Arabidopsis thaliana: one gene and its partner. The protein of the gene in region 2 interacts with the protein of the main gene of each other region in a pairwise test. Each region holds a gene or a part of one and is shown on either strand. Other genes may lie near its edges.

The links.
Region 1: the proteins of BPC7 (region 2) and GATA17 interact in a two-hybrid assay, tested with the Arabidopsis thaliana proteins (one large-scale study listed by BioGRID).

What each region holds. Positions count from the first base shown.
Region 1 is NC_003074.8:5,754,756-5,770,965, forward strand, and holds GATA17 (GATA transcription factor 17), read right to left. Parts: upstream 10,006-16,210; 5' UTR 9,822-10,005; coding exon 9,633-9,821; intron 9,381-9,632; coding exon 8,997-9,380; 3' UTR 8,742-8,996; downstream 1-8,741. Other genes in the region: RR1 (response regulator 1), read left to right, coding at 1,358-1,544, 2,042-2,194, 2,278-2,718, 2,792-2,868, 2,947-4,092, 4,316-4,384; COBL8 (COBRA-like protein 8 precursor), read right to left, coding at 4,888-6,308, 6,809-7,349; AT3G16880 (F-box and associated interaction domains-containing protein), read left to right, coding at 11,978-13,075; PPR40 (pentatricopeptide (PPR) domain protein 40), read right to left, coding at 13,646-15,625. UniProt on the Arabidopsis thaliana protein: Transcriptional regulator that specifically binds 5'-GATA-3' or 5'-GAT-3' motifs within gene promoters.
Region 2 is NC_003071.7:14,926,379-14,943,028, reverse strand, and holds BPC7 (basic pentacysteine 7), read right to left. Parts: upstream 13,734-16,650; 5' UTR 13,504-13,733; coding exon 13,417-13,503; intron 13,140-13,416; coding exon 12,411-13,139; 3' UTR 12,361-12,410; coding exon of another isoform or gene 12,255-12,360; 3' UTR 12,137-12,254; downstream 1-12,136. Other genes in the region: BRXL1 (BREVIS RADIX-like 1), read left to right, coding at 781-1,160, 1,271-1,400, 1,489-1,775, 1,859-1,937; AT2G35585 (cystic fibrosis transmembrane conductance regulator), read right to left, coding at 5,156-5,383, 5,497-5,673, 6,075-6,140; AT2G35580 (Serine protease inhibitor (SERPIN) family protein), read left to right, coding at 7,547-7,646, 7,696-7,985, 8,467-9,201; AT2G35555 (serpin), read left to right, coding at 11,525-11,787, 12,255-12,360; AT2G35540 (DNAJ heat shock N-terminal domain-containing protein), read right to left, coding at 14,099-15,871. UniProt on the Arabidopsis thaliana protein: Transcriptional regulator that specifically binds to GA-rich elements (GAGA-repeats) present in regulatory sequences of genes involved in developmental processes.

The DNA of each region.
Region 1 (16,210 bases), on a different chromosome or scaffold from region 2:
TATTTCCTAGAACTACAAGTTGTTTTTGATTAAAACATGAAAAGTATACTATATAAGTTATATTCTTACTAATCATAGTTACACACGACTTGAAATAAATACATACTAAAAAATTTGGAAGGTTATATGTTTAATTTGCACCAAAAAAGGCATCGAGTAATCTTATGTTATGTATACATCATATATCTGGTTTTTTTTTGTTGATAAAAGTATATGTACTATATCTTAGCTAAAGATGTAGGTGATGATGGGAAATGCTTAGGTGTATTTTGGTACCTTAATCATATGCTTGAATGTGCGTAGACGTATTATTTTGTTTAATTTAATGATATGATTATATTTTTATTTTGCCGTTTAATTTAATACATGTAGGTCCAATAGACAGGAGGCATTGTTTCTCAATTACATAAATTCAAAGGGTAGTTTAGTAAATAAATTATAGGCATATCAAAACTAAGAATTTTTTATATATATATGCAGCTGCTCTTTTGTTTAAGGCAAATTCCTATTCGAAATTGGTAGAAAATGGAAATTAAAACAAAAAATTAGGAAACTAACAACAATAATACTAATGAAAATCTATTAAGGTTTGAGTTTGCAAACTTTACATATGACGAGTTAATTAATTTTTTCATGCATGAGCTGGATCCACGAATCAAGGGTCTTTGGTCCCACTTTCTTCCCAATTATATAAATTTCCTTACCCTATATTTCTTTCATTGATGATTCAACCCCTATATTTCACTACTTCACAAAATAACCCAGAATTTGAGCTCAAAGCAACATCCAAAATGTTCTTCTAAATAGAAAAATAAAACAGAATATAGAACAATAGTACATATAATATACAAAACTAACTTGTAAGAAATTGAGAATAAAAAAGAGAGTGGATCTAAATGAAATTTAATAAAACCAATAGTCTAAATGTAGAGAGAATGATGAAAATAAAGGACATGTCAGCTTCTACATATATGTAAATAAAAAATATATATGACTGAGTATATAAAAACCACATTTTTTTTTTCTTCTGCATCTAAATGTTACAAAAATTGAATAGGAAAAATTAAGAGAGCTTTACTCTGTGAATAAATAAAAAAACAGAGAAAAAGAGCTCTAAGGTGAGACAAGCCTTGTCTTCTTCAACTCCCTAAGTCTCATCTCACCATCTCTCTCTTCTTCTTTTTTTTGGTTACCCAGAAGAGATTCACTTCTATCTCCAACAATTTCGTATTCTCTCATAATATTCAATTTTAAATCGAATAAAACTCGCGTCAATTTCCCCTCTTTCTTTCTGGGTATATATTCTTTTCTGCTTTTCTTTTTTTGTTTCTTGGGTTCGAGCTACATAGAGAGAGGTATGATGAATCCGAGTCACGGAAGAGGACTCGGATCGGCTGGTGGGTCCAGCTCCGGTAGAAATCAAGGAGGTGGTGGTGAGACCGTCGTCGAGATGTTTCCTTCTGGTCTTCGAGTTCTTGTCGTTGACGATGACCCAACTTGTCTCATGATCTTAGAGAGGATGCTTAGGACTTGTCTTTACGAAGGTTCGTATCCAAAAACCAAGATCTTCTCTTTTCATTTTTTTTTTTTTTTTTTTGTTCGTTTAATCTCACGAGAGAGAGAGAGAGAGAGAGAGAAAGAGAGTTCATGGTCTCTTGCTCCAATGATGGGTTTATTTGTGGTCCATTCTCGAAAATTATGTTATTTTGAGGAATAATTATGGTTTTCATATCGGTGGTTGACTAACTTTGCTCCCCCTTTAATAGAAACCATTTTGGTTACTTTTTAAGATTCACATATTAATCTCGAGCTTCTTCATTTAGATCACACCATTTTGATCTACTGATAGATTCACATGTAGATCCATTGTATATAATAAGTTAGGGGAGGTTTCAAATGGATTCAAATCTTGAGTCTTTGATCTTTGACTTGAGTTTTGGTTAAATGTCAATTCATGAGGTCCTTGTTGTCAGAATTCAAATCTCTGTTTTTTTCTTTTATCTTTGAAGATATGAAACATTTTGGTTGTTATGACATGCAGTAACGAAATGCAACAGAGCAGAGATGGCATTGTCTCTGCTCCGGAAGAACAAACATGGATTCGATATAGTAATCAGTGATGTTCATATGCCTGACATGGACGGTTTCAAGCTTCTTGAGCATGTTGGTCTAGAGATGGACTTACCTGTTATCAGTAACGTTCTTTTTACTCCCTCAAATCTCATCTAAGTTTGAATCTTTTTTTATAGATTATTGATCTTGTATTCGTTTAACTAGTGATGTCTGCGGATGATTCAAAGAGTGTGGTTCTAAAGGGAGTAACGCACGGTGCGGTTGATTACCTTATCAAGCCTGTACGTATGGAGGCACTTAAGAACATATGGCAGCATGTAGTTAGGAAGAGGAGAAGTGAATGGAGTGTACCGGAACATTCTGGGAGCATTGAGGAGACTGGCGAGAGACAGCAGCAGCAACATAGAGGAGGTGGTGGTGGTGCAGCTGTTTCTGGTGGAGAGGATGCGGTGGATGATAACTCATCCTCGGTTAACGAAGGTAACAATTGGAGGAGCAGTTCACGGAAGAGGAAAGACGAGGAAGGAGAAGAGCAAGGAGATGATAAGGACGAAGATGCGTCGAATTTGAAGAAACCGCGTGTCGTCTGGTCTGTTGAATTGCATCAGCAGTTTGTTGCTGCTGTTAATCAGCTCGGCGTTGAGAGTAAGACTAAAACTTCTTACATTTGCATTTGTGATTGTTATGCTCAGGGTCTAAATGATCTTCTATGGCGCAGAGGCGGTTCCTAAAAAGATCTTAGAGCTGATGAATGTTCCTGGTCTAACCCGAGAAAACGTAGCAAGTCACCTCCAGGTATAAATCTTATACTGGATACCAAAATGAGCCATTGAAATGCTTAGATGTTCTTAGCGGCTTTATGTGGACTTGCAGAAATACCGGATATATCTAAGACGGCTTGGAGGGGTATCGCAGCACCAAGGCAATCTTAACAACTCGTTTATGACGGGTCAGGATGCGAGCTTCGGACCTCTTTCGACATTGAATGGGTTTGATCTTCAAGCACTAGCCGTCACAGGTCAGTTACCTGCACAGAGTCTTGCACAGCTTCAAGCCGCTGGTTTAGGCCGGCCTGCGATGGTCTCTAAGTCAGGTTTGCCGGTTTCCTCCATTGTGGATGAGAGAAGCATCTTCAGCTTTGACAACACGAAAACAAGATTTGGAGAAGGGCTTGGGCATCACGGGCAACAACCCCAACAGCAACCACAGATGAACTTACTTCACGGTGTCCCCACGGGTTTACAACAGCAGCTTCCTATGGGTAATCGAATGAGTATTCAACAACAGATTGCTGCTGTTCGAGCTGGAAATAGTGTTCAAAACAACGGAATGCTGATGCCTCTAGCGGGTCAGCAGTCTTTGCCTCGGGGACCACCGCCTATGCTAACCTCTTCGCAATCATCCATCAGGCAGCCGATGTTATCAAACCGCATTTCCGAGAGAAGTGGTTTCTCTGGAAGGAACAATATCCCCGAGAGCAGCAGAGTGTTACCGACAAGTTACACTAATCTCACAACACAACACTCATCAAGCTCGATGCCTTATAACAACTTCCAACCAGAACTTCCCGTGAACAGTTTCCCGCTGGCAAGTGCACCAGGGATATCAGTACCGGTTCGGAAAGCCACTTCTTACCAGGAAGAGGTTAACAGCTCCGAAGCGGGTTTCACTACGCCGAGCTACGACATGTTCACCACCAGACAGAATGATTGGGATCTGAGGAATATTGGAATAGCCTTTGACTCACATCAGGACTCAGAATCCGCTGCGTTTTCCGCTTCAGAAGCCTACTCTTCTTCGTCCATGTCAAGACACAACACGACAGTTGCAGCCACCGAGCATGGCCGAAACCACCAGCAGCCACCATCGGGAATGGTACAGCACCATCAGGTTTATGCAGACGGAAACGGTGGTTCAGTGAGGGTGAAATCAGAGAGAGTGGCTACGGATACAGCAACAATGGCGTTTCACGAGCAGTATAGTAATCAAGAAGATCTTATGAGCGCACTTCTTAAGCAGGTTTGATTTGATTTTTTTTTTTTTGTCAAACTTATATAGAAGCATAATCTGATCCGTCAACGTACATGTTTGCGTTCAAAATCAAATATATAACAACTCTCAGACGCTTTCTCACCATTGGTCGCATGTCTTTTTCATAATAATGCAAATTACAACTAAATAACAAAAAAAATCAGTGAACCAAAAAAGTTGAAAAACACAATCTTGAATTATTGATATACAGGAAGGGATTGCACCGGTTGATGGCGAATTCGACTTTGACGCATACTCCATCGATAACATTCCGGTTTGATTGGATAAAAAAACCGATAAACCGGAGGGACTACCCGGATCTGTACTGTATCATTTTTACACGACGATCTACTAAAACTTGTTTGATATATATGTAGTCTGCATGAAATTTTAAATGGCAGATTATATAAGAAATAATTATTCATGTTAGGGGTTAATATCCTTGGAGATTCTTTTGTTCCTCATTTATGTAGTGAGGCTGTTTAGGGTTTTGTAAGTATGTATTTCGAGTAAATGCTTAGAATAATTCGAACAAACTTAATTTAGTACAACGCCACAACGTGAAATCAAAGCAATTCAAGATCAAAACACAAAGGGATTTGTCTGTTCAATATTTGTATGTATACATACTGATTACTAAAATCTGATCATACGAAATTCAAGAATCACACGGTGCACAAAGCACCACTAGTAGTAGAAGTAATTCTGCATCAAATCTGGTTAGAAAGAATCAAGAAAACTGTATATTTTCTGGCTAATGAGGAAAGTCCTTCACTGGAACTTTTAAATCCGAAGAAACAGTAGAGCCAAAAATGGTGTCAGGATGAGAAGAAAGGTGGATACATGTTTCCTGTGACTGTTGCTCGTGGGTAGTACAGAAGGGAGTGAACATTCCTGGCCGTTGAAGAGTACTTTGGTGGGAAACCCATCTTTGGAACCAACTTTGATTCCAGGAGTCAGTTTCTTGGTGAAGGAGATAACCGACTGCTGTTTCCCGGGTATCCGAAAGTCTTCACTCGGGTTTTTTCCGTCTTTCTCTGCAAGGAGATAGTTCAGTCCAGGGAGCCCTTCCATTAAAACAGTTGTGTTCTTCCCGTTGACCGCGATGATACTTCCGTTAAACGAGTACGCTTTCTGAAAACCGGGTGCAGCATTTCTCAGTTCAACCGCGGTAAACCAATCCACGAAATCAGTATCACCCCAGTTGAAGAGTGTGACTCGAGCAGTCCATCCGCCTCGATAGTCTGTAGCTAGGTGCCAGTTTATGCTGACTCCACAGTTATCTCCACAAGGTAATGGGTCCGGGACTTTCCGGTTTTTTAACACTGCCCAAGCGTTGGTAAGTTTGGTTCGGTTGTCAAATGGAATTAGAAGAGCCTGATATGGAAGAGGAAGAGCTGGAGAAGTTGTGCTGCAAGTACGCGCCACTCTGTCGCTAGAGCAACCTCCACAAGCGCAGGTCTTACACGGGATTACTGAGTCATTGAAATAAGAAGAGAATGAGACGCAGCATTTAGGAGGAGTTGGTTGAGTGATGTTGCAGACGACTTGCCAGCTAGCAAATGCACTCTTGTTTGAAGGCAAACCGCTTGTATCAGGGAACTGGCTTGAGCTGACACGAAGAGGAGGGCCACATTTGTAATCCGGGTTAAGGTTACCTTTAATCTGCCAGCTCTGGGGAGGTGTTATAGAGGAGATGTTGAGATCAGGAGGCATTTTGTAAACTTCTATTTGAAAAACCGATTTAGACTTCTCTGGATCCATGGACCGTGGCAGAATAGTTCCATTTCTGCAGCAGTATGGGATACGCCCGACATTGGTATCGTTATACTTAGTCAGGGGTAGGTCTATGATGTGTGGCCTTCTTGCACAGCTCATGACATTAGAGAAGTCAAGATCTTTATAGTATTTTGCTTGAGGACCAGTGATGCAATCCGACGAATCGACAACACTTGGATAAGCTCCTTTGGTTGAGAAGAGAAACTCATCTTTCATCCACATAAAACTTAGATCCCAATTGTCAAGCCGACCAAGCAGGTTATGATTCTCGATAGTGACCTGCGCTGAGTAACTCGACTGATATGCTCTGGTCACATCGTACATTATGGTTAGATCTCCTTCTTGCCTAGGAAGGAACTTTTGACCAATTTTGCTTGTTGTAATGTTCGGATTCGGTGTGCAACATACTTGCAGAACATTACTACCTGGAAAAAGCCATAGAGAAGAAAAGAAATGTCAGTGAAACACAAAGGAAACATTTATGCTCGCAGCAATAAGAGTCTTATTATGATCAAGAAGTAAAAGAAAAACAAATATGCAAACTGAACAGCTTAAATTCCAAAATGTTTAATCAGATATTCCACACATTTATCAGAAAAGCCAAGCATGAGATAGTTTCCTAAGTAAACTTAAGGTCTAATCTCAATTGCTAATAAGACTAGTTCAAACTTTTAGTTTACAAGAAATCTATATAAACAATAGAATTTTTCAACCACTCTATTGATCACAAATAGACCTGGTCAATGTGATCATATTGCTCGACTTTTAAAACTCTTGGTAATGCCTTCATAAGCAACCCAAGATCACATAATATTTAAAATTGCAACAATTCATTAAAAAAATTATGAACAATTAAACGAGAAATGAAAAAATACATTAAAAAATCTCAAGATTTCAAGTCATAAGATTCAGATGATTTTGATACCTTGTTGAGTGGGTTTAGGACAAGACCATCCATCATTAACAAGAGTGATGTTCTTCGGAAGCGGAACACTCGGCGGAGCAACTCCAAACTGAGTACCCACGAGCTCAACACGTGCTTCCATCTGAGTTACGTCGCCGGCCGTCATGATCGCCGTCTTCAAATCCGCCGATGGAAACCCGGCGAAGATTGTCCCGTTCTCAACGCTAGCCGGGAGGCTAGAACCGTCAGAGAGAACAGCGTTGGTCGCTGAAACAAGAATCTCGCGGTGGGCGAATTTAACAAAGACTTGCCACGATTTAAGCTCGTCGCGGCCGTTGTTTAGGACCGTGATCTCTGATTCGAACCGGTACGGCTGGTTCTTCGTGTCGTTTGGTTTAATCTTGGTACCGGTTAAGTAAGTGTAGGAAACGAACACGCCGTTGCAGAGATCGGCGTCTTTAGAGCGTGGTGGTGGAGTGTTGCGTTGAGACGACGTTAGTTGAATCGCCGTGAAGAGAGATGACAAAAGAATCCATAAAATGAAATTTCGAGTTAAACCCATGATTACTCTAAATCTCTTCACTCACAAAAATCTCTTTTTTAAAAAACAAATTCTGGAAATGAAAAGGTGAAAAATCGGAAGTTTAATTTTGAAGAGAGGAAGAGACCGCGTTAAAGAACAGAACAGCTTAGTAAGACGCTGTAATGAAAATTTATGTCCGCGTTGAAAATGTGTATATTTCCTTGTTTGGTCGGATTTTAATGTTTTTTCTTGATCAAGTAAACAAAGGTTACGAACAAAAGCCAAAGACAAGGTTTTGTTCTTCTGACAAAATTATAAAATAGTGGGTTTAAGTTTTCAAATTACAAGATGAACCATATATTTCTGTTAATAAAAAAATGCAACCCCAACCTATATCTTAGTAATTATGTGAATGTGTAATTTACACCTAATCGTTAGCTATAAAACATTGATACCAAACACAGTTTATAGAATGTTCGCTTAAATGACTTATATTCAAATATTTACTGATATTTCTGTCTACTAAATTTTAGTGATTTCTAAGAGTGTTTATGGAAGTTTTGAATGTATTGAGAGTGTGATTTGATAGCTAAAATATATTATGAAGATTTTGTTTGAATTTGTGAAAAATAATAAGGAAAACGTATCTCCAAAATTAAGAAATGGTGTTTATGGAAAATATCGACAAGTTATTCCTAAATTGTACTCTTTGCTTAGGAAAATAAAGGAATCAATGGAAGTAATGGTCCTAAATCGAAGAAACTGCATAATATAAGGGTGAAACACATAAATAGAAGCTTTGGTCAAAAGAAAGTCCCCCGTTGAACGAAGTTGCCCCGTTAATTTGAATCATTCTCGAGGTTCACGGCTCTACCTAGCCATGTCACACTCACACCATTCGTCCACCAGTGATCCATTTAAATGAATTATATTTTCGTCACCACTTTAGATTTTTAAAAAAAAATTATAAGTATGATTCATGACTTTGCCATATTTAACATTACTTAAAATTTTGTTGGTCCACCATTATTAATTATTAATGATGGCTTATTAAGGTTGAATCATACGCTTACATGAAAAACAAAACCAATTGCAAATCGAAAATTTACACTGTCCCTGTTACAAAGTTACCATAACAACTTTTAATCACACAAACAGATACTCTGCCAAGTGCAAATCGAAAAATTGCCATCCTTCAATAAAATGAAAAAACAAATCGAAGTATACAACCTCAGCATGATATATATATAAAAAAAACTCTAAACCATACAAAATCTGAATTTGAAACCAGTTGTGAATTCAAAAGCATATAAAAATTCAAATCAAATGAAAAACGACATCAATGGACCAAAAAACAAAAAAATGGTGGAGTTGACGGAGACAAGACAACTAGAATCACGCGCCTCACGATTCCCCCGATAAAGCCCAATATCTTGGGCCATATGGGCCCATACACAGAGAATGACATTTGAGGCACTAAAAATTAAGACCAATTCTCATTATTATGGCATTGAATGACTAAGAACCAAAAAAAAGTGTTGATATTTGAATTCATCAAGAAAATGAACACAAAACATTAGTGGAACCAAAAAACTAGGAACTTACACATTCATTACATATTATCTCTATCTAATTAAGTTAATCAAAATCGCTCTCACTTGATTATGACCTAATACAGAGAAACACTTAGGCGTAAACAGAGCTACAAGAGAGAGCCATGAGAAGCACAGCAGCTCTTTCTTCCTCACCGAGTTTTCTCCATAACCTCTTCTTCTCAACCGCTGATCTCTTCATCACCGGTACTTTAAACCCTAAATCCAAAAACTTACTCACTCCTTTGTTACTGCTACTACTACTACTACGCTTGTTATTGCAAATTTTCGGATCATCATCGATGTCGATCTTGCCATCATCAACTATGTTGATTTTGTATTTCTTGGCGTTTCGATGGTCGAGGTTTAGATCATTATTGCAATTGCTTTTTCTGTTCTTCTTCTTCTCCTCTGATCTCATACCAAGTGCTGCTTGTCTCTTCTTCCTACTCTTGATCCCACAAGCATTGCACAATGACTACATAGCAAAAGACAAACCAAAGAAATAAGAAAAATTTGAACTTCAGAGCAATATGAGATCAGATCTTTCCGGTCACTAAATTGATTCATCACCTAAATAAATTTGAAAAACGATAAAACCTAAAATAGGATCATGCATAATATAGATGCTATTTCGCGATCCATTGATTAGATCTACTAGATCGGAATCTAACAACAACCCAATAGACTATAAGAAGATTGAAATGAAAGGGTTAGTTAAAAATCTCACCTTTGGTCCGGCAGGACCACCACGCCAAAGAGGAGTTCGGATAGTTCCGCAATCAACGCAAGTCCTTTTGGTATCACCAGAACTACTACCACCGCCACTTCCGCTGCTACTGCAGTTCTCGTTATCAACATCTGATAACTCTCCGGCAGAGTCGAGTTTTGTTTTCGTATCTTCTGATCCCTCAGACATCTTTTTTTTTTTAAGAGATCGGAGCAGAGCAAGTTTTGATGATAAGGAAGAGGGAGAGAGAGAGAGACGGCGGTTAGTAGCAACAGAATTAAACAAACGGAGAGGAATTTTATAATTGAGGAGGAAGGCGGGGGCGGAAACCCTAGTATTTCGGGTTATTTGAATTGACTAAAATACCCTCGAGCGGGAGCTTTTATTAATTTTGTGCCACCCGCCCAAAAACTTATAACTAAAATCTGAAACAATGTTTTGATTTTTTGTTTTTTAAAACTAGCCGCTTTCAAATTTTGCGGCTAGGGTTTGTTATTGGTCGCTGTCCTGACAATAATCTGTTTTCACGTTTTTTTTTTTTTCAGTTTTTGGTTTTATTTTATTTCTAATGTCAAAATTTATAATAAACTAATAAAGTTTTACGTCGGTTTTATTTACAATCAATGCAACAAATGAATTTTTTAAAAACTTATGAATGATGACTGGATTATTAATAAAAAAACAAAAAAATAATGGCAAAATTCTGTAAGATAAATATCCATTGGGCTCAATTTGATAGTCCAGGCCCATGAGCATGATAACGCAGTACAGTTTTTTAGTTGAGCTACAGAAGAAGAAATTACAGTACAGATGCACCTACCCACAAAGAAAACCCGGTGGTTCGAACCGTTAAGTTGTCACCGTAGGATTAAGTATGGCATAGGATACGTGGATGACAAATCATGCGGCCTCAACCACAAAGTTTTGAGGTTTGTTCAATCTTGGTCTTACGAAGATGTTCGGTGTGAACTCTAAACATTGGAGTGAGGATGGATATTTTCAAAAAAGTGAATTTCAAAGAATCTTCAAACATAACTTCTTCCCCACTTATGTTTCAAGTTTAGTGCAAATCCAAAATTAGTTTGTATTCTCATGTCTTGTATGAATTATTAACTAAGGCATATTTGATTTTATTCCAAACAGTTTATATATGATGGAATTGAAAAGTGATCAGCCTCCGTTTAATTTTTCAATGATCATTTCTGTTAGTAATAGAGGAACTAGAGGAATTGTTAATCAGTGTGTTCTTTTAACATGAAAAAGAAGATAGTTTCTCTTTGACATATTCATGCAGTAATTCATCATATCACAACAGAAAGATGATTTGAGACCTGACCACCAATGACCAAACATATTTATCATCAAGACAAAGAGTGAGATTATGAGTTTCCTTCGTATGCATCAGAGCATTTTTTTGGGTGAGTTCTGGAGCTTCACTCTGCAACATATGTAAGACTTCACCAATAAGATGAGATAATTTCAATATTTGAAATTCTTTGTGTATCAATGTAACTCGTACTTGAGCATTGATATGACCCTTTGCCAAGCAGATTATTAAGGAAGAAAGAAATTAACCTCGCAGTTGTAGGACTAAATTAACCTCAAAGTTCTACAAAGACAAGGTTTTCTTCCTTGGATGCCAAGTTAGGACCACAAAGCTCCTCAAACAACCACATTGCAGAAACCATCAGCAAAAAACAAGACCGATTATAAAGTTAAAAGATTGGGCTTAATTCCATAGACAAGCCCTTTACCATAATATAGGAAATTAGTACAAAATACAACAAAATTGGAAAATTGGAACTGGAAAGAGCTTTTGAAGGTCGCCGCATAAAAAAGTAACGTAACTTATTTGACTATATAACTCTAAATTAAAAAACCCTATTTTCTATGAAGTCAAAAAAAAAAAACCTATTTTCTACATCATCGAAACCTTGCTGAGACAATGACGAAGATATCCAATATTCCAATGGATTTGTTGGAGGAGATAAAGACGTAAAGACCTAATAAAGACTTGTTTTTTGGGTTCTATAAAATATAACCTTTGTTATTTAGTGTTCGAGGTAAACAAGACTAAAGTCCTTCAATGCTCATGTAAAATAGAATCTGGCCAAAGAATTATTGTTTCCTTAATTTTTACACTATAGTGGTTTAATTATACTAATTAGCCCATTAGGGAGTAAAAAGAATTATTGTTTCCTTTTCTTTTTTCACGGAAATAACTTTTGAAAGTTGGCATATAAAGTTGTTACCTAACTTATTTCTTGTCGATTAAAAAGATTAGGAAAGCGTGAGAGTAAAACCCTAAATTTCTATTACATTGATCATCCTTGAGTGCTGAAACAATGACAAAGATGTCCAAACTTCCGAATGATTTGTTGGAGGAGATACTCTCTAGAAGTCCACTGTATTCTATGAGAGCAATACGATTGACTTGCAAAAAGTGGAACACTTTAGCCAAAGAAGAAAGCTTTACAAAGAAGCAACTCGTTCAAACAAAAGCTGCCAAGGAATTTATGGTGATCATGATGATGGATTCTAAGTTTTGTTTAATGAACATCAATCTCAACAAGGAAGAAGACGTTGAACCATCTATAAAGTGTAATGGTAAAATTATTAACCCAATCGGTATGTGTCGAGTCTATCATTGCGGTGGTTTGGTATGCATCACAAAAAGCTTCAGTAACACTAGAGATGTGGTTTGGAATCCGTATTTGGGGCAAACTCGGTGGATCAAACCTAGAAGCCATCACGCATATATATATGCTATTGGATACGAGACGAAAAAATCGTGCCGCAGCTACAAAATTTTGAGTTCTGAACACAATTATATAAATATTGATGATGAACGTGTTGACTACGAAATCTATGAGTTAGACTCTAATTCATGGAGGGCTCTTGATGTCAATTCCAATTGGGCGACAGCCTTTTATAAAATGGATGTCTCTGTGAAAGGAAATTCTTATACGTATACTGATTATAGGGGTGACTTCTTGATTTCTTTTGATTTTACAACAGAGAGATTTGGACCGACTCTGCCTCTGCCGTTCCACTCTCGTTGTGGAGATATTGTGGCTCTCTCTAGTGTTAGAGAAGAGAAACTTGCAGTGTTACTTCACCGCTGCAATATATCAAGGATGGAGATATGGATTACTAACAAGATTGAGCCCAACAATGTGTCGTGGGGAAAGTTGTTCTTAACAGTGGACATGAAACCACTCATTATTGATGATGGAATTTTCTTCATTGACGAGGAGAAGAAAGTAGTTGTGGTTTTTGATAAGGACAAAGAGATGAGAAACCGTATCACAGCTTACATCATTGGAGAGAATGGATACTTCAGAAAAGTGGATCTCGGAGATTCTGAAAGTTTTCCTGTTAGGTGCTCTTATGTACCAAGTTCAGTGGAAATCAAGCAACTGGCAAAAGGCAAAAGCAACTAGTCCATTTACAATACCCAAATATTTGGTTCTTGCATTGTTTAATTACTACTACTCTTGCTTTGTCTTCTTTTCTCAGCTTCCTGATTCCTGAACAATATTGGTCTATTCTTAGTTCGTTTCTCATCTCTTACGTTGAAAAAAAGATTGTTAAGCATACTAGTTTGAGATCGAAACAACAAAATCATTCAATACTCATGTCCAATATAATCTGGCAAAACTGTTGTTTCCTAAACTGTTACACGGTAAGGGTATAAATTAGGGCCAAGGCTATCTAGTGCTAAACATACAAAATCTTTTGCCTTTTGACTGTCAAGTACCAACCAACTGCCATTACTATTGCCGCCACTTTCTCGGACTCAGAAATATATAAAAGCTTTGATCAATCAAAAGAACAAAACTTAATACTCTGTTCTGCATTTTGCACTCATGTTCTGTTTCTCTTCCGTCTGCATCAAAGAGGCAACCCGTGGCAAAGATCGGGTTCTTTCTCAGACATTTCCAAATGAAACGAACCCACTTTTCCGGTTTCTAAGCCTTCATAGGATATTCACACTCTCGAGGATTCAATTTCTATGAGGCTGACACGGTTTCTCTCGAGAGTCCACTTTTTCTTAGGTCAAGTTCTTCAACAAGACGCTTAGTATATGAATCTGGAACACATCCATGTCTTTCGATTGAACTGAACATCTCTCTTGCTTCACTCTCTCTTCCAGATTCACTTAGAGCTTTGATGAGAGTGCTATATGTAAAGTTATCTGGTTTCAAACCAATTCTCAGCATTGTTTTAAGCAATTCCTCAGCCTTCTTAACCTTTCTCATCTTGCAAAAACTCTGAATAGTCGCATTGTACGCATAAAGGTCTGGACTTAACCCGTTTTCCTTCATCTTCGCAAACAGCTTCACTGATCTATCGGTATCTCCGGTGGAACAACAGGAGCGAATCAAGATATTGTATGTGATCTCGTTTGGCTCAATACCCCATTCCAACATCTCCTTGAAACAGTCAAATGCATCTTTAATTTCTTTTGCTCTGCAAAGACAGTTTATGATCAAACTGAAAGTGATCACGTCTGGTTTGAAACCATGTACAAGAAGCTTCTCTAGCACGCCGTGAACCTTCTTTACATCACCCCTCACGCTATAACCGCTCAGAAAGGTATTGAAAGTTACGAGATTCGGAGAAATACCTCTATCCTGCATCTCTGTTAAGAACATAGCTGCATTCTCTATGCGTCGAGCCTTGCAGAGACAGTCAATTACCGCATTATAACTATATACACTTGATAGAAGCCCGTCAACACCCATTTGTTTCAGATACCGGTCACCTTCAGAGAACCTCTGAGCATTCAACAGAGCTTGAACTAACACAAGATAACCATTGAATCCTGGCTTAACTCCACGGCTGACAAAACCGTCAAATATCCTACAAGTCTCAACAAGATCATGCCCTTTTAGGAGACAACTCATCGCAGCATTGAATGTTGAGCTATCCGGAATATAACCTCTCTCACCTATCTTCCTCAAGAATTGACCAGTCTCTTTAGCCATTGAGTTGTTTGAAAGACAATACAACACAGCATCGTAACCAACTCTTTGCAAGTTTGAGTCTTTCTCCATAAACCCAACCAAAACCTCAAACGCTTTACACGGCGGCAAGCAACGGAAAATCCCGTGTACGAAAGTTCTGATTGTAGCTTCATTAGGATTCAACTTTCTCACCCGCATCATCTCCAATTGCTTCAACGCCTCATCAACCCTCCCTGCTATCAAAAACCCGTCGATCAAAATCGTGTATGTGAACACATTGGGTCTATTCCCTTCCTGTTCCATCTGTTTAACCAATCGAATAGCTTCATCAACCACACCCTTCTTGCAAACACCATGTATAAGTATATTATAGGTAAACCGATCCGGTTTACAGCCATCACTACGCATCTGCTGAAACTTGAGGTAAGCCAAATCAAGTGAATTAGACTTCACCAACGCATCAATCACAGCATTATAAAGCCTTGTACTTGGTTTCATTCCAAGAAAAGATATCTGAGCAAAAACATCATTACAGTACTTAGCTAAACCTAATCTTCCCCAGCTTCCGATCAAAACACACATCAATTCATCACTAATCCGATACCCTGAATCTCTAATCTCTTTAAGCAATTCCATAGACAACAATAAGGGGCCTTTACGAAAAAGTGCGTTCCCTAGAACACTCTTCAGAGACTGATCCTTAGCGTAAACCGGGTCGAAGTTGGAGACCCAGAGGTAAAATCGCAGGGAGTGTAATGGGTTGTCTTGATTCTGCAAAACGCTGATGACGAATCGAGTGTTGAGACCAATTCGATGAGTGGTGAATTCTTGATTCAGTATCAAAAACCAATCTTTTCTCTCTATGACTTGCGAAATGTAACGCTGGTTCAGAGGATTGGTGGGTTTACCTGAAGAGTTTAGGGTTTTTGAGAGCTTAGGGTTTACGGATGTGGAAGCGTTTAGTGATTTGGAAGCTGCTGCCGCCGTCGCTATTCTAGATGCTGAAGAAGCAAAGCCTCTCATGTCGTGACCAGAACGGAGCTGAGTGCAAGTGAAACATTGATTTGGTCTCTAACCTCAAGACGATGTTTCCTAAACGACGCTGTTTAATACACCAATATCAATATGTGTTCGAATTTAATAATTTTTTTTTTAGTTTCAGAATAAATTAAGAAAAAGTCATGACCAAAAAGATCATCTCCTTTGAAACAAACAAAAACAAAAGAATTTTGGTTGATCCTAATGACTCTTCCATTGCCACCATGAAAATGAGGGTTTTCATTATAGTTTATCCATCTCTTGATTACTATGAATTTTAATTTTCTTGTAATAATTATATTTCTAAGTGATAATTTTCTAATTTCTATCTTAAATTGTAGCATTGACTAAATATTTCCATCTTCATCTTCAAAAATATATTATGATAATATTAAGTTATTGCTAATGAGAGATGTAATAAAAAGAGTTGTGATGAAGTCATTATTATGCTATTTATGTATGATTAATAATATGTTATAAAAATTACTATTGCAATATATATAGTTTTCTTATATCATTGCATTTATTTATAAGAATAAGATACAAATCAAGTCCAATAACTTAGAGAAA
Region 2 (16,650 bases):
TCTTAAACTGTTTTAACAATTGTAGTGAAAAGTGAAATAAACAGTTTTGAAATTTGGCTGTCAAGTACAAAAGTATAGAGGTTACTGTAGTTAAGGCTGCAGGTTACAAACAATATTAGGATCTTTAGACAAGATTTTACAGTGATGCAACATCACTTCTCTGGAATCTATTACAAATCTCTCTTTAATAGGTTATGTCAGTGTTTTATTTTCTGCACTCTATGTGACTAGACATAAAAAATCTAGCAACCAATTTAGTAAAATAATTAAAATATCAAAATTATGTTTCACATTGAATTTACCAATGTAGTGGCTGATGATTTGTGTGGAAAAGGCTAATGGAGTCACGCCTTGTTGAACATGATTTTTGCTTGTTATTGAAGATTGATCTATATACTTTCCTAGAATAAGTCCCTAGTGGGTTCTTATTTAGATTAGGATGGTGGGGCAAGTATATAGTAAATCAAAAGAAGCAAAAAAAAGAAGCTATGATTATGTTCTAGTCATGGAGAAGACAAGATGAACTATATTATTTGTTTCAAATTATATCAGATCTTCTAGCTTTATTCATGCTCTTTATGAATGATGATAGTAGACTCTTTTTTTCCTAGTTGGGATCAAAGAAAAATCATCCATTTCTTGACTCTTTTTTTTCATGTTAGTAGACTTTATTGCTTACTTACCTGTTCTGTCCAACATTATTCTGTCCAATGATCACCTAGTAAGGTTGTGTTTTAAGATTTTACTTTAATCAACTTCTTGGGCACGGATGCTATGCAGATCAAAGATATGGCGTCGAAATTCTCAGGTTCTCATAAACAAAGCAAGCCAACTCCGGGCTCTTCGAGCAGCAACTTGAGGAAGTTTCCGGATTTTGACACTGCATCAGAGAGTGTTCCATACCCTTATCCTGGTGGAAGCACGAGCTCCACTCCTGCTTGGGACTTACCAAGATCCTCCTACCATCAATCTGGACGGCCAGACTCAAGATTCACATCAATGTATGGCGGTGAACGTGAATCCATCTCTGCTCAGTCGTGTGATGTGGTACTAGAGGATGACGAGCCAAAGGAGTGGATGGCTCAAGTAGAGCCTGGTGTTCATATCACATTTGTCTCACTTCCCAGTGGAGGAAATGATCTTAAACGGATACGTTTCAGGTATTTGAAACCCATTCTCTCCATAACATTTTCAAGAATATGTTTCACTTAAGGACATAGAATGATTCAATGTGAAATGAAGCTAACATATACTTGTATCGTTTTTGAAGCCGGGAGGTTTTCGACAAGTGGCAGGCTCAGAGGTGGTGGGGTGAGAACTATGACAGAATAGTTGAGCTTTACAATGTTCAAAGATTTAACCGACAAGCTCTTCAAACTCCTGGTAGATCCGAGGACCAGGTAAAACACATCACTCTTTAGATCACAACTTTAAGAGAAGGTTTATGAGTAATCTTATCTTTCAACTTCTGTTTGTTTCTTCTAACAGTCGCAGAGAGATTCAACTTACACAAGAATTGATTCAGCAAGAGAAAGCAGAGACTGGACACAAAGAGACAACAACTTCAGACCACCAGGAGGCAGTGTCCCTCATCATTTTTATGGACCTCCAATGGACGCAGCAAGAATCACCACCTCATCGAGGGACGAACCGCCTTCAATGAGTAATGCTAGTGAAATGCAAGGTGAGTGGGTTGAAGAGGACGAGCCTGGTGTCTACATTACCATCAGACAGTTACCAGATGGAACTAGAGAACTACGCCGCGTCAGGTTCAGGTAAACCAGAGAACCGATTTTTTCAGCACTATCCTAATTTATTTGGCGATTAACCGTAAACCTTTCGAACCGGGTTTGTACAGTCGGGAACGGTTTGGGGAAGTGCATGCCAAGACATGGTGGGAGCAGAACAGGGACAGAATACAAACCCAATACCTCTAAGAGGACAAAAAACGAGATCAATATTGTAGTCTTCTTTAACACAACAAAGGTATACACAAAAATCAGAATTTTGTTCATCTTCTAAAATTTTGAAGAAAATCAGAATGTGATATGAAAACAAAATGAAAATTTGATTTATGTTTAGAGATTTGTAGTTAGCTACTTCTCGACGTTTTGATAGCTATGTAATTTTCCTGACGACGAGATGAGCTTTATGCCTTCATTTATTGGTTCATTTTTTGACATGATTCTAAAACTGTGAAACTTATAAATAGAGAGGTTTATCGATGATGGATAGATCACTAAACAAAACAGAACACAGTTTGTTCTCTAATTTGCCTTGGCTAACTACCTAACAACCCTAGAAAAATTATATTTTAAACAAAGTTTTGATGAGATCTATTAAACGGAATCAGATCACAAAAAAACACAGAGAGAATGGTTAGCTTGAACCAATGAAACTAACTCAAAATATACAACTGAAAATATGGAACACAAGCAACTCTAAGTCTAATCACCAACTCTTTGAGCCTAAATTGTTTACTTAATTTCTCAAGAGCATAAAAACAAAGAATCCGCCCAAAAAACAAATCTACTCGAGAAGAATCATAGTAAGAAGGAGTCACTATGAACATAAAGCTCAAGCACAAAGCTAACATAACAACATCTCATGTTCCATATAACCTATACAGGCAAGCAAATAGAAAATAGAACTTACGATGGCACTCCATGTTCGCCTATGGCCGGCTTCTAACAACAGAAAACATGGAGAAAATACCATTAATGATATTGAATTCGATACGCAATTTTCTGGATCGACAACAAATAATTCGATTACACAAGATAAATAAAAAGGTTTAAAATCAATGAATAGTAAATTATTAAGTTAGATAAAAAGAAATTGGACTATAAAAAATGAACTAGAAGAAAAGGAAAATAAAATGAAATAGAAGTTAGCATATTTGAGAATTTATTAATGTAAATTTTATTTCCTAGAAGAAATGAAATAAATAACAGTATTCCTTTATTTAAGATTCAAATATAATTATGATAACTCTTTGTTTTGTCAATAATTATGATAACTCTATAAATAGGTTATTGTGTTAATCGTCTAAGTCTAAGAGAATCCAAAGAAGTCAAACTTAACACGCCGTACTCTCGTAAAAGAAGATGGACCGAGAAGCAGTAAAGGATCAATACGACATCCTTATCGACCTGGAAGGATCAGTAGGGACTCAAAGCGACATTGTTCTGAGGTGGACTCAGACCAGATTATCTCTTTACTTCAGGCTTCTTCAACGGATGAGCTTAACGCTGTCTTCTCCAGGATCGTCACCACCATCCTCGCCGACAGCACCCCGAGTGGCGGCCCGACGATATTGGCAGCGAATGGCGTTTGGATCGAAAAGACTCTCTCTGTGGAACCTTCTTTCAAGGATCTCTTGCTAACTTCTATATAAATTTACTAGGGCTTGTACTAACATTAACATGCTTTTGATGTATGTAAGATAGTAACATGCTTAGACATTTAGACTTAGATGTGTGCGTAATCAGATTTAGGCAAGGCTTTTGTGTGAAAATCAAACCACAGATGTTAGTGTAACCTAATAAACCTAATTCCCTTAAACCTTCTCCATATATTTCCTTCAGTTTCACTTATATGAACATATTCGGTGAATAACTTAGCTAAATACTAGATTGTATATAGGAATACTAGGGATTATACTAATAGTTTGTGCTTTGAAGTATACACAAGGCTTTTGTGAAATCAAATCACAGATATTGATAGCTAGCTTCTCTGTTTTTGTTTGTATTGTTTTTGAAAGGCTGATGAAGTGAATAAAGAGGTGAATTCATGGGTTGAAGAGCAGACAAATGGACTCATCACTGATCTTCTTCCACCAAACTCTGCTTCTCCTTTGACTGATCTCATATTTGCTAATGCCTTGTTTTTCAACGGAAGATGGGATAGTCAATTCAATCCATCGCTAACAAAAGAATCCGACTTTCACCTTCTTGATGGAACCAAAGTACGTGTGCCCTTCATGACCGGTGCCCACGAAGACAGTCTTGATGTTTACGAAGCTTTCAAAGTCCTCAATCTACCGTATAGAGAAGGACGCGAAGACAGTCGTGGTTTCTCTATGCAAATCTATCTCCCTGATGAGAAAGATGGGTTGCCTTCAATGCTGGAGAGCTTAGCTTCTACTCGTGGATTCTTGAAGGACAACAAGGTTCTTCCTAGCCAGAAGGCGGGTGTCAAGGAACTCAAGATTCCAAGGTTTAAATTTGCTTTTGATTTCGAAGCCTCGAAAGCTCTCAAGGGTTTGGGTTTGAAGGTGCCATTGTCTACGATCATCCACAAGTCTTGCATCGAGGTCGATGAAGTGGGATCGAAAGCTGCAGCTGCTGCCGCATTAAGATCATGTGGAGGTTGTTATTTTCCGCCAAAGAAGTATGACTTCGTGGCTGATCATCCTTTTCTCTTCATCGTCAAAGAGTACATAAGCGGACTAGTTTTGTTTCTTGGTCATGTCATGGATCCTTCTAAGCACTAATTTGATGTCCAAAGTCTCGGGACTTAAGGAAAATGTTTTTATGACGTTCTTGACGTATTTGAACTTTTATGCCCACTGGTTTTAAATTTGGAAGGAAATTTGAGTTTTAGAGATTTGTCGTTAGCTAGTTCTCGGTGTTTTGATATGAGCTTTATGCCTTTATTCATTGGTTCATTTTTCCCATGCCTTTACTTTTGAATGATTCAAGTGGTTAGACTCTTTTCAATTTCTTTGCTTATAGCATAGTAACAGCATGCGAATTCAACTTTGTTTTTTTTTTATTATTATTGTAACAAAACACAACGTATGTTGTTGCCAAAACCATCCTGAAGCCGGTAAACCAAGACTCTGCTCATAATTTTCCTAAACCAAATGGGGAGATCGAAATGTAATCGATGCATGGAAAAGGAACTAGAAATTGAATGAAACTTGTGTGGCGTGTGATGCAAGCTACTGTAGCAGCTGTAGCATCAGCCTATTGATGAAACGAAACGCTAGCTCTTAATTGGGAAACATTGGATATACAATGTCTCTTTTATGTTTATCGGAGGATGAAGTGGATGATTTTAGTTAGATATAATAACATTCATTCACTATGAGTTGGTTTTGTTCTTACACATAAATGTAAAAAGAGTCTAGACCATCCATGCAGGTTCTTAGCTAGATACTACCAGATACTTTGCATTCTTCTAGTAGATTAAGCAAGTCGTGTTCCGGCGCACTAAGTGAAGGCAAGATCGGACGGTTGGTATTGCATTGGCTAGTCCGCGATGGAATTGACGTCACAGAAACATCAGATTCTTCATCCATCCCATCTTGGACAATAGCCAAATCACTTCGTCTCCTCATCGAAGAAGCCGACACTCTCTCTTTCCAGAGTCTCCCGTCCTGTGATCATAAAAAATAGAGTGAAGCTTTCTACAAACACTCCTATCTTTGCAGTTTTCACTATCAAAAAAAACTAATTTTTTCTTTTCTTGGAACTTTTTCAAGAATCTTACATTGAGAATGGATGGCTCTGGGAGTGGACATTGGATCGGTTGATCGTTGTCTAAGGGCTCCATCGGGTGATCCACCGGTTTAAACTCTGTTGCTACTTCGATCCCATGAGTTTCAGTGGTTGTGGTATTAGTTGCCGGAGCAAGATCAGATCTTGGAGACAATACTTCCCTGCCATCCTGATCATAGGAGAAGATTTCATGTCAAGTGTAGCCTGAAACCAATTTAGGGCTTTTCCAGATAAATAAAAGGGTCTCAGATTCAACTATAGCTTGAAATCTATTAAAGGTAATCAGATTACAAAAGAACAGAGAGAATCTTGAACCAATGAAAGGAACTCAAAAGAACAGAAGAAGCACTAAACATCTCCCATTCTAATCATCAACTCTTTGAGCCTAGTTAGCATCTATGATATGAGCAAAGAATCTGTCCAACAATTAAACAAATGTACTGGAGAAGTGTCATACTAAAAAGGAATCACTATGAACATAAAGCTCAAGCACACAACTAACAGAACAAAATATCATGTTCCATATAACCTCTACTGGAATCAGACAAGCAAATAGAAAAGAGAGCTTACGATGGCACTCTGTGTTCGTCTATGGCTGCCTCTAACAACAGAAAACCTGGAGAAAATACCAACCATGCTATTGAATTCGATTATACGATTTTTTTGGAATAGACGAATTTCTTGATCTTCACTTTGAATTTCACAAGCTAAAACACACAAAATAAACAGTAGAAGAAAAGAACAAAAGCAGAGCCACAAAGAAATCTCCAGAATATTGCAGTGGACTGATAGATAATAAGAAATGCTTTCTCAGCTTTAAGCTTTAAGCTTTGCTTGGCTTGAACAGATTCTCTGTTATGGCTTCTTTCTTTCTGTCTCTTCTAATTTATCCTTCAACAACTTTTCTTTGGCTTTGAAAATTAGTATTAAATGATGATTCATCGCATTATTAAAATGAAATAATTCCCTTATTGGAAAATGACAATTTTTTCTGGTTCAGCTATATTGTTTTGTTCTTGAGAGAATAAACTATTCATTCAATCCACATCGAGAAAGCTACAAATCAACTAGACGGATTATTTAATATGACTAAAATACTAGTAATAATTAAGCTATTTGAACCACCAGCTCAAGAACTCAAGTGTTATTGAAGTATCTTGTATTCTTTTTCAGGACAGGCTAGGTACTAACTAATTTGTCGTTATTCTTTTTCAAGGAAAAAAAGTATATTAAAAAAAAACTAATCTAATCAGCTAATGCTACGTACTACGTTCAAAGCCAGATTTATTACACTACACCTTACCTAATCTCGCCTAATCTTTTGGCTTTCGTAGTTATTAGTTAATTGTGAAGTTATTAGCTCTATCCAGATGATTTAACAAATGAAAATATCTTGAGTCTTTGTTTACTATCCTTGTCCTAGAAATTGAAAGCACCATCAGAGCCAGCAGTGGCAAAAGTACCATGTACCTTATAAAATACACACCTCAAACAATCAAGTCATCGTTATGTCAAAAAAAGAAAGCAATCAAGTCAAAATTTGCAAAAGAAACTATGGTTCAGTTAGAATTTTTAAATATGGACACAAGTTACATGAAATAAAGTTTTGATTTTGGTTTTGGACCCTTGAAAATACACCAATTTGTTTGTCAGTTTAACAATGTCCCGGTGCAAATTTACTTCACGCACATGCGAAATTTATGTAGCCATGTCGGTCTCCTTTTAATGTTAAAAGGAAAATAAAAGAAAGAAATCAGAAAACAGCACAACTTTGGATTAAAAAAAGTTAACTAAAAGAAAAGGAAATAAAACGTGAGCGTATTTAGGAAAATATGATTATACAAATATATTAATTTGATTGAGAACTATAATTTATGATAACTCTATAATTAGGGTTCTTGTGTTGTGTTAAGAGGTTTTAGTTCAAAAACATAAAACAAAAGAAGAGAAGTAAAAGAAAGAAGTCGTCTAAGAGAATCCAAAAAAATCCAACTTAACTCGCCGTAAGAAAGATGGAACTGGACACTACCAAAAAAAGAAAGATGGACCTGGAAGAATCAATAGAGAAGCAATATAAGGCCATGATGGACCTGAAAGAATCAGTAGGGAATCAAAACGACATTGTTCTGAGGTTGACAGCACGTGATCGCCACTACCTCCCGAAAAACCTCGAACCTCGTCTTCTCGCCAGCGTTAATCAACGTCATCCTCAGTATTATCGCCGCCAGTTCTCCCGGAGACACAGACACCGCAGACAAGATTGTCTCTTTACTTCAGGCTTCTTCAACCGATAAGCTTCACGCTGTATCCTCCGAGATCGTCACCACCGTCCTCGCCGACAGCACCGCGAGTGGCGGCCCGACGATATCGGCAGCGAATGGCTTGTGGATCGAAAAGACTCTCAATGTGGAACCTTCTTTCAAGGATCTCTTGCTGAATTCGTACAAAGCTGCTTTCAATCGAGTTGACTTTCGCACCAAGGTACTCTCTTTGATCCAAATAAACCTAACTCCTTTATATATTTACTAGGTATTATATTATACTTTACATGCTTAGTTGTATCATGTATGTAACATAGTGACATGCTTAGATGTAGCATAGTAACATGCTTAGACTTAGATGTGTTCGTAATCAGATTTACCCAAGCCTTTGTGAAAATCAAATCATAGATGTTAGCGTATAACTGTATAAGGATAACATTATTGACCGGAAAAAAAAAATGCTAGTGTAACCTAATTCCCTTAAATCTTCTCCAAATATTTCCTTCAGTTTTCACCTATATATATGAAAATCATTCGGTGATCAATAACTTAGCTAAAAACTGGTTTCTATACAAAATCACTAGGGATTGTACTAATATATTGAAAAGTGTGCTTAGTCAAAGTATATACACAAGGCTTTTGTGAAATCAAATCACAGATGTTGATAGCTTCTCTGTGTTTGTTTGTTTTGTTTTTGGAAGGCTGATGAAGTGAATAGAGAGGTGAATTCATGGGTTGAAAAGCAGACAAATGGACTCATCACTAATCTTCTTCCATCAAACCCTAAATCTGCTCCTTTGACTGATCACATATTTGCTAATGCCTTGTTCTTCAACGGAAGATGGGATAGTCAATTCGATCCATCTCTAACAAAAGATTCCGACTTTCACCTTCTTGATGGAACCAAAGTACGTGTGCCCTTCATGACTGGTGCCTCCTGCAGATACACACATGTTTACGAAGGTTTCAAAGTCATCAATCTACAGTACAGAAGAGGACGCGAAGACAGTCGTAGTTTCTCAATGCAAATCTATCTCCCTGATGAGAAAGATGGGTTGCCTTCAATGTTGGAGAGATTAGCTTCTACTCGTGGATTCTTGAAGGACAACGAGGTCCTTCCTAGCCACTCGGCGGTTATCAAAGAACTCAAGATTCCAAGGTTTAAATTTGATTTTGCTTTCGAAGCCTCGGAAGCTCTCAAGGGTTTTGGTTTGGTGGTGCCATTGTCCATGATCATGCACAAGTCTTGTATCGAGGTCGATGAAGTGGGATCGAAAGCTGCAGCTGCTGCCGCATTCAGAGGAATTGGTTGTCGACGTCCTCCGCCAGAGAAGCATGACTTCGTGGCTGATCATCCTTTTCTCTTCATCGTCAAAGAGTACAGAAGCGGACTTGTTTTGTTCCTTGGTCAAGTCATGGATCCTTCTAAGCATTAATTTGATGTCCAAAGGTCTCGGGATTTGAGGAAAATCTTCTTATGACTTTCTTGACGTATTTGATTCCATGCATCACTTGAGTTAAAAGTTGAAATTGACTTTAGTTATAATCCTCGTGCTTTTCATCTTTTTAAAAAGATTTATCTCTTTTCAATGATTTTTATTCTTTGGCCTAATATGATGGCTATATAAACTAGGTTTCACAAACAATTAATATTAAGAATGTATGAAAATAACTATGAAATCTCGATCGAAAATTCTTGAATTACAAAGGTTTTTTTTTCCTCAATTTGAAAAAAAAGAAGAAGAAGAAGAAGTTAGGATCTTTTAGCTCAAAACAAGGTAATTAGGGTTTATGTGTGTAAATTTGCAGATTTCTTGCTTAATTTCATATCTATTTATTTATTTATGGACCGATTATCGGTTTATACAATTTACTTATAAAATTATTCTTGATACATTCACTATCATTTGGTTCTGTTCTTACAAAGAAAAGCGATAATGTGATGAGAGTTTAGGAATTGGAAGAAGTTATATATATTTACTCTCATAATGATAAGCTTTGGGTTACATATGTTTATATATAGTAAAATGGTTTCCTAAACTAAGATAGAACTAAATCTTTACATATGAATATAATAAATATAAAATATTTTCATATTAACTTGTGGATCTTCTGGATCCTTCTACAAGTACTCGTTGTCGAGACCATCTCTGGTACTTGTTCAAAACATAAAAGAAAACAAGAGAAGTCGGTTTAAGAGAATCCAAAAAAATCCAACTTATCCTCGCCGTGAGAAAGATGGACCTGAAAGAATCAGTAAATGATCAATACGACATCCTGGAGAACCTGAAAGGGTCAGTTGGGAACCTAAACGACATCATTCTGAGGTTAACTCAGCACGTTATCGCTAGCACCGCCGGGAAAACCTCGAACCTCGTCTTCTCGCCGGCGTTACTCAGCGTCATCCTCAGTTTTGTCGCCGCCAGTTCTCCCGATGAGCTTAACGCTGTCTCCTCCGGGATCGTCACCACCATCCTCGCCGACAGCACCCCGAGTGGCGGCCCGACGATATCGGCAGCGAATGGCGTCTGGATCGAAAAGACTCTCTACGTGGAACCTTCTTTCAAGGATCTCTTGCTGAATTCGTACAAAGCTGCTTTCAACCAAGTCGACTTTCGCACCAAGGTACTCTCTTTGATCCAAATTAACCTAACTTCTACATAAATCATAGATGTTGATAGCTTTTCTGTTTTTTTTGTTGTTTTGTTTTTGAAAGGCTGATGAAGTGAATAAAGAGGTGAATTCATGGGTTGAAGAGCAGACAAATGGACTCATCACTGATCTTCTTCCACCAAACTCTGCTTCTTCTTGGACTGATCTCATATTTGCTAATGCCTTGTTTTTCAACGGAAGATGGGATAGTCAATTCAATCCATCGCTAACAAAAGAATCCGACTTTCACCTTCTTGATGGAACCAAAGTACGTGTGCCCTTCATGACCGGTGCCCACGAAGACAGTCTTGATGTTTAAGAAGGTTTCAAAGTCCTCAATCTACCGTATAGAGAAGGACGCGAAGACAGTCGTGGTTTCTCTATGCAAATCTATCTCCCTGATGAGAAAGATGGGTTGCCTGCTGTGAGGTTTTTAGCCTCTTTACCTCTAGCTTTCTTACTCACAAGCACACAACTACTAACTTGAAGCATTAAGAACTGACTTGAAGAATGTTGAGCAGAGACTGAAACTTAAAGAAAAAGTTATGCAAAGATAGAGAAGTGTTTAACTATGAAGATGCAGAGAATGAGTGTGATGCAGAGCTGTTAAAGAAGAATGATGCAAGGCTGGAAAAACGAACACACACGGTTTAACGAGTTCGGAACCTCAACGTGAGGAACCTACATCTCGCCGGGAAAAATCCCGGAATCCACTAAACCACTTCAAGATTACAGCTTTGTCCCTCACCCTCTCTAGGAACTTACAAAGCTCTCTCTCTCTTATGTTCACTCTGTTTTCCCAAACCCTTAGCCTTACACTTACTTCTCTCTCACTTGTCTCACTCCTCTGTTACAGAGTCAAAACAAGACAAAACTTGTGGTCCTTAAACTTGGTCTCCAAGCTGGTCTCTCATTGGCTCTTTCAAGTAGGGTCGCGAATCCGTACGAGAAAGCAACTATGAGAACGTTAATGCTTGTCCTTAGACCTTCCACACGCTTTAGAGACTTACCTTTTCCTTTGAAGACTTCAGACTCTCTGTTGCAATCAGAGTGTCTCATTCCTCTTCATCTTTCTTTTGTCTAAGCCACTTAGTCTTAACACCTGCAATGTTGGAGAGATTAGCTTCTACTCGTGGATTCTTGAATGGCAAAGAGGACATTCCTAGCCACTGGGCAGATGTAGGAGAACTCAAGATTCCAAGGTTTAAATTTGATTTTGGTTTCGAAGCCTCTGAAGCTCTCAAGGGTTTGGGTTTGGAGGTGCCATCCACTATCATCCACAAATCTTGCATCGAAGTCGATGAAGTGGGATCGAAAGCTGCAGCGGCTGCTGTAATATTTGTTGGTTGTTGTGGTCCTGCGGAGAAGAGGTATGACTTCGTGGCTGATCATCCTTTCCTCTTCCTGGTCAAAGAATACAGAAGCGGACTAATTCTGTTCCTTGGTCAAGTCATGGATCCTTCTAAGCATTAATTTGAGGTCAAAAGTCTCGGGACTTTATGACTTTCTTGACGTATTTGCATCCATGCACAACTTGAGTTGAAAGTTGATTCTAAAGACTTTACTGAATCCTCGTTTTTTTCATCTTTTTAATAGATTTATCTCCTTTTAATTTGGTATGAGTGTGAAGTCACCTATAATATATATGATGACTGCCTAAGTTTAAGACCATCCCTGCAGGATATTCGTATGAAGTCAAAACAGAGTCTCTTGTTGATTCGCTAATATTCATTTCTTATTGAAATTTATTTGTGAATTCCAAAGCAATGTGTTGCATGACCGAAGTTACCCAAGTTCATGCCATAATGTGTTTCCACGACTGTTGGGATTTTTGCAGGAAATATACTCTACTTCAGGGGAAACAAGTAAAGGATACCTCTACTATAGCAAATACAGTACTCCCAAATATATACCAAAAGGCTAAGACTGTGAAAAGGACTTAAAAAGAAGCCACAAAAGCTAATATCTAAATCAAACCCAACTAATGAAACGACTACTTGATGGTCACAAACTTGTTAGTACCGTGTCTGGCCCAATGGTTCTTGAGATCAAGAGGGTGAGAGAGGTCATAGCCTTCGTCCGCAAGCCTCGCAAGGAGCTTAACATAAGCACCATTGCTCATTTTTCTTCCTGCAAGACGAGCTCCAGGTCTTGTTGTGCTCATGGGTAGTGGGTATGTCGATATGCTGATGGTACAACATGAGGATTGCCAACCGCCCATGCCCCATTTGTAGCAAACCCTTGAAACGCCTGTACATGAACATACAGGAGGAGGAACCCCAGAAGTATCAAAGCTTGAGATGTCAATGTTGATGTCCAGATTCTTTTTCTCACGTTTTGTTTCTGGTATGCTAGGTGTTTTCTTTGACTTGTTGGATACAGAGCGTTTCTTCCTTTGCGGTTTTGGCTTCAAAGCTTTCGAAGGAGACTGATTTACGGACTTCTGTTTCACAGTTTCAGTATCGTTTCTGGAATCTCTAATAGGAGGAGGAAACAAATGAGATTGAGGCACCATCACACCTTCAGCAGGAGGTTCCTGAGAAAGATCAATGCCTGTGGTCTTTGGAACGGCGATACATGAATGTAACCAATGAGCATTAGACGTACGCAAGCCTGAGTCCTTGTTTGCGTTTGTAGCAGATAGCATAAGGTTTTGTGCAGGAAATGAATTCATCTTGATAGCTAGTTTCAGTGGAAAGATCACACCTTCGCGTTGCAGCTCCTACATCATTTCAAAAGCAGATAAGATGAGCCAACACCTCCAAACAACAATTGATACTAAGTACTAACATTATTAAGCAACACACAGATGCAGAAGCAACCTACATGCTCTACTTACAGAGAATATAATCTATAGTTTACTTCCAGTATCAGTTTTCAATCAAAAGACAGAGATTTTACAAGACAGAATCTGATATGCATAAGTCTAAATAAGCAAACTTGATAATTGAAACCCAGATAGTCAGAACAGATAAAACAGAGATATAAAGACTACATACGTAGAGGAAAAGATTTGATCTTTCAAGATTGTTTGATTGAAAATCGGCAAACCCAGAAGAGTTAACGAAAGAAGAATCAAGACCCATATGCGGAAAAAATTAACTCGCTACAATAAACCATGCAAAATCAAAAACCTGTGACTAGGGTTCCAAAAGAATCATACGGCAGAAACAGAGTCGACACCAAAAAAAGAGTGATCTTTCGGCTTACGCAAACGAGAAAAATCGTCGGAGTTACCAGTGGCGACACTCCACCGCTATGCTCTCGCTCACTCTGCGCACTCTTTCTCTCTCAAACCTCTGATGGACGAAATAATTCACTTTGAGGCCTTGAGAATTTCTAGGGCTCACCGATTTTTAAACTCCGTTTCTTTTTGCCCCACGCGAAATTTATGCATATATTTTAAACAATATAAAATTCTTAAGTTTACAATTAGTCAATTAGATAATTAAACTTTGAAAATTTATTTTTTTGCCACTAAGATTTGGTAATATAACACAATATTTAACTTATCTATGCAATTTATAAACTTGTGGGAAAGTCTTTGGACTTTGGGTTTGGGCACTAAATATAGTTGATCTAAACTAATATGATTAAGTTAGACAAATATAGACATGAAGTGCTTGTTTCTCTTTGTCATGAGATGATGAGAAACAGAAAACAAAGAAGTGTCTATGTTCACTAAGTGGCAGAAACCAAATCAGGAGGAACAGAAGCAAGATCAAGCACCCAAGACTCTTTCAGATCAGCTCCAGATTCATCTTCAGGCAGCTTCTTGGCCGGAATCTGATGAGAGAGCAAGGCTGCAACATCTTCTTTCTCGACCCACCTGACTGCATTATACCCGTAATCCCGTCTCTTGAACAGGTTGCTATAGTCGTTAACCTTCTCCAAATATGCTACACTTAATCCATATGCATCAGTATACATTGTCAAGCATACGACAATCTCATAGCGTCTGGTCTTTCTTCTCTGAAGACCTGGATTTGTCTCTGAGTAGACTGCCCAAACCGAGCCTTTCTTTGGATATATTTGGTATATTTCTCGTGCAGCCCTTTCGCAGTTGACAAGGTGAGAGAATGGTTTCACTTGTTCTATCAAAGCTTTCTCTGAAACCCGGAACCTACCACAAGGCATATGAGAAGAACTAATCTTCATCCAAGAGATTAGTTTCTCGCTCTCAAAATCCAACCAGCTGATCCATACCTTAAAAGGATTCAAAGAGACTACTTCACTAACTAAACAGTAACTCCGAGGCATTTTGTCATCACCACCATCATATATCGCCCAAATCTGCCCTTTCTTGAAGCTCCTCGGCATCCGGTCCTTATCAAAATCATACAGTTCAAAATCCTCGTCTTCCATATACATTTCTTGGCTTAACTTACCACGATCCCTCTTCCTATCAACCCGAGGCACGTATTCTAAATCCACTATCTCAGTTAAATCCTTGTGGTTCGCCATCTTCTTCTTCTTTATATTCTTCCTATTCTTTAAAACTTCTTGTTTATTATTCACTGCGTTAGTACTCATCTCCCTTAACGTTTCAGTCATGGAGGCATCAGCTAAAGATCTCTTCTGCGTTTCCCTTCCCATGTTTTCTTCTCCACTGCTATCTTTCTCAGTGATCTTCGAATTCACCTTCGACTTATTTCTCTTTATCACCGCTTGCATTTCTGCCAAAGTCATCATCCCTTCATCCTCTTCATCCGACCCCTCAAATACATTAATAGCTTCTGCTGCTTCCTGACTCATCTCCCCTGTCTCAACTTCTTTTATCAGACTTTCACCATCGCTATCAACAGGCCTCTTCCTCCTACTATATGTTATGATCTTGGAAGTACAAGCTCCATTTTCTCTACCCTCTTCTTCCTTCTCAACTTCCTTCGCCTCAAAACTATTCTTGCAAGTAGGGCACATCAAATTTTGTCCTAAATACTTCCTATCAAACTTATGCACCGACCTACAACCCGAACAAACCGCCGAAAACGTTGACGTTTCATCACCACCAGAACCACCGCTAACCATTTCCCCCTGAATCCTAATCCTCAACTTCATATCATACTCAGTCCTCCTAACCTTATCAGAGAAAACCCTAAAGGCCTCATTCAAAAGTTTGAACCCCTCCTCACACCCCACATACGGATTCTTATCAGGATGCAACACCAAAGCTAGCTTCCTATACTGTTGTTTTATGGTATTAATATGAGAAAAAGGCTCTACCTTTAGAACCTTGTACCATTCCGGAAAACCTCCGGCGACTGTGGCGGCGGAGCTGATGATCTCGAAAGCGGTGACCATGGCGGATAAACCTTCCGTGTTCGGAGACAAGCTGAGAGCTTTCCGCGCGTGAGTTAAGGCCGACATCAAATCACCGCAATTGAAACTCGATTCCGCTAGTGCTTTGTGGTGTATGGATTCCTTTTCTACTTCTGAGTCTGATCCAGAAGCCATTGCTGTGTAGCCGGAGACGCCTTCAAAAACTTCAACTTTGAAAGAGAGGGCTAAAAAGAGAGAGAGAGCTCTGCTTTTTCTATTCCCTTGAATTCACTCACCCTAGTCTTTTTATTATTTTCTTTATCACCCTCTTATTTATTAAGAATCTCTTTTCTGCCCAATAGTTTTTTTTGTTAGTGTTCCTAACTATTTTGTCATAAAGTCATTTATTGTTTTTGATGACATGTAACATTACCAATGAGTCAATGCACTATCATTCTATCAATGTGTATTGTATACATAAACCTATTCATAACATTTAAAATATACTTTTGCAAAGACACTTTTTCCATATATTTATGTCAATTTTGATTTTAAAGATCTTCCTTTTCAATTGGGGAGAAACTTTTTTCCTTATCAAATTGTGACATTTTGGGTGGGTTACAAATTATTGTAAGGCTTTAAATGGGTAAAGTTCATAAATAAGTTATAAAGAAGGGCTTTTAATAAAAATACTTAAATTTGGGCAAAGAAGCAATTTTTATTCCTCGTGAACTCCACGCCCCCTTTCTTCTCCGTCAGATAACAAAAAACAAATCAAGCAAATTTATTTATCTTGGTCAAGAGACATTGATTCTCTTAAATTTCTGCAAAATTAAGCTCAGAGATTCACACCGCATCTGAAATTGTGCTCAGAGGGGTTCCAAATATTACCAGTCGTTAGGTATTTCTGTTCACATCTCTCCAAGTTTGTATCTTTGGGGTTAGATTTTAGCGTTTCTCTTCTGAATTCGATT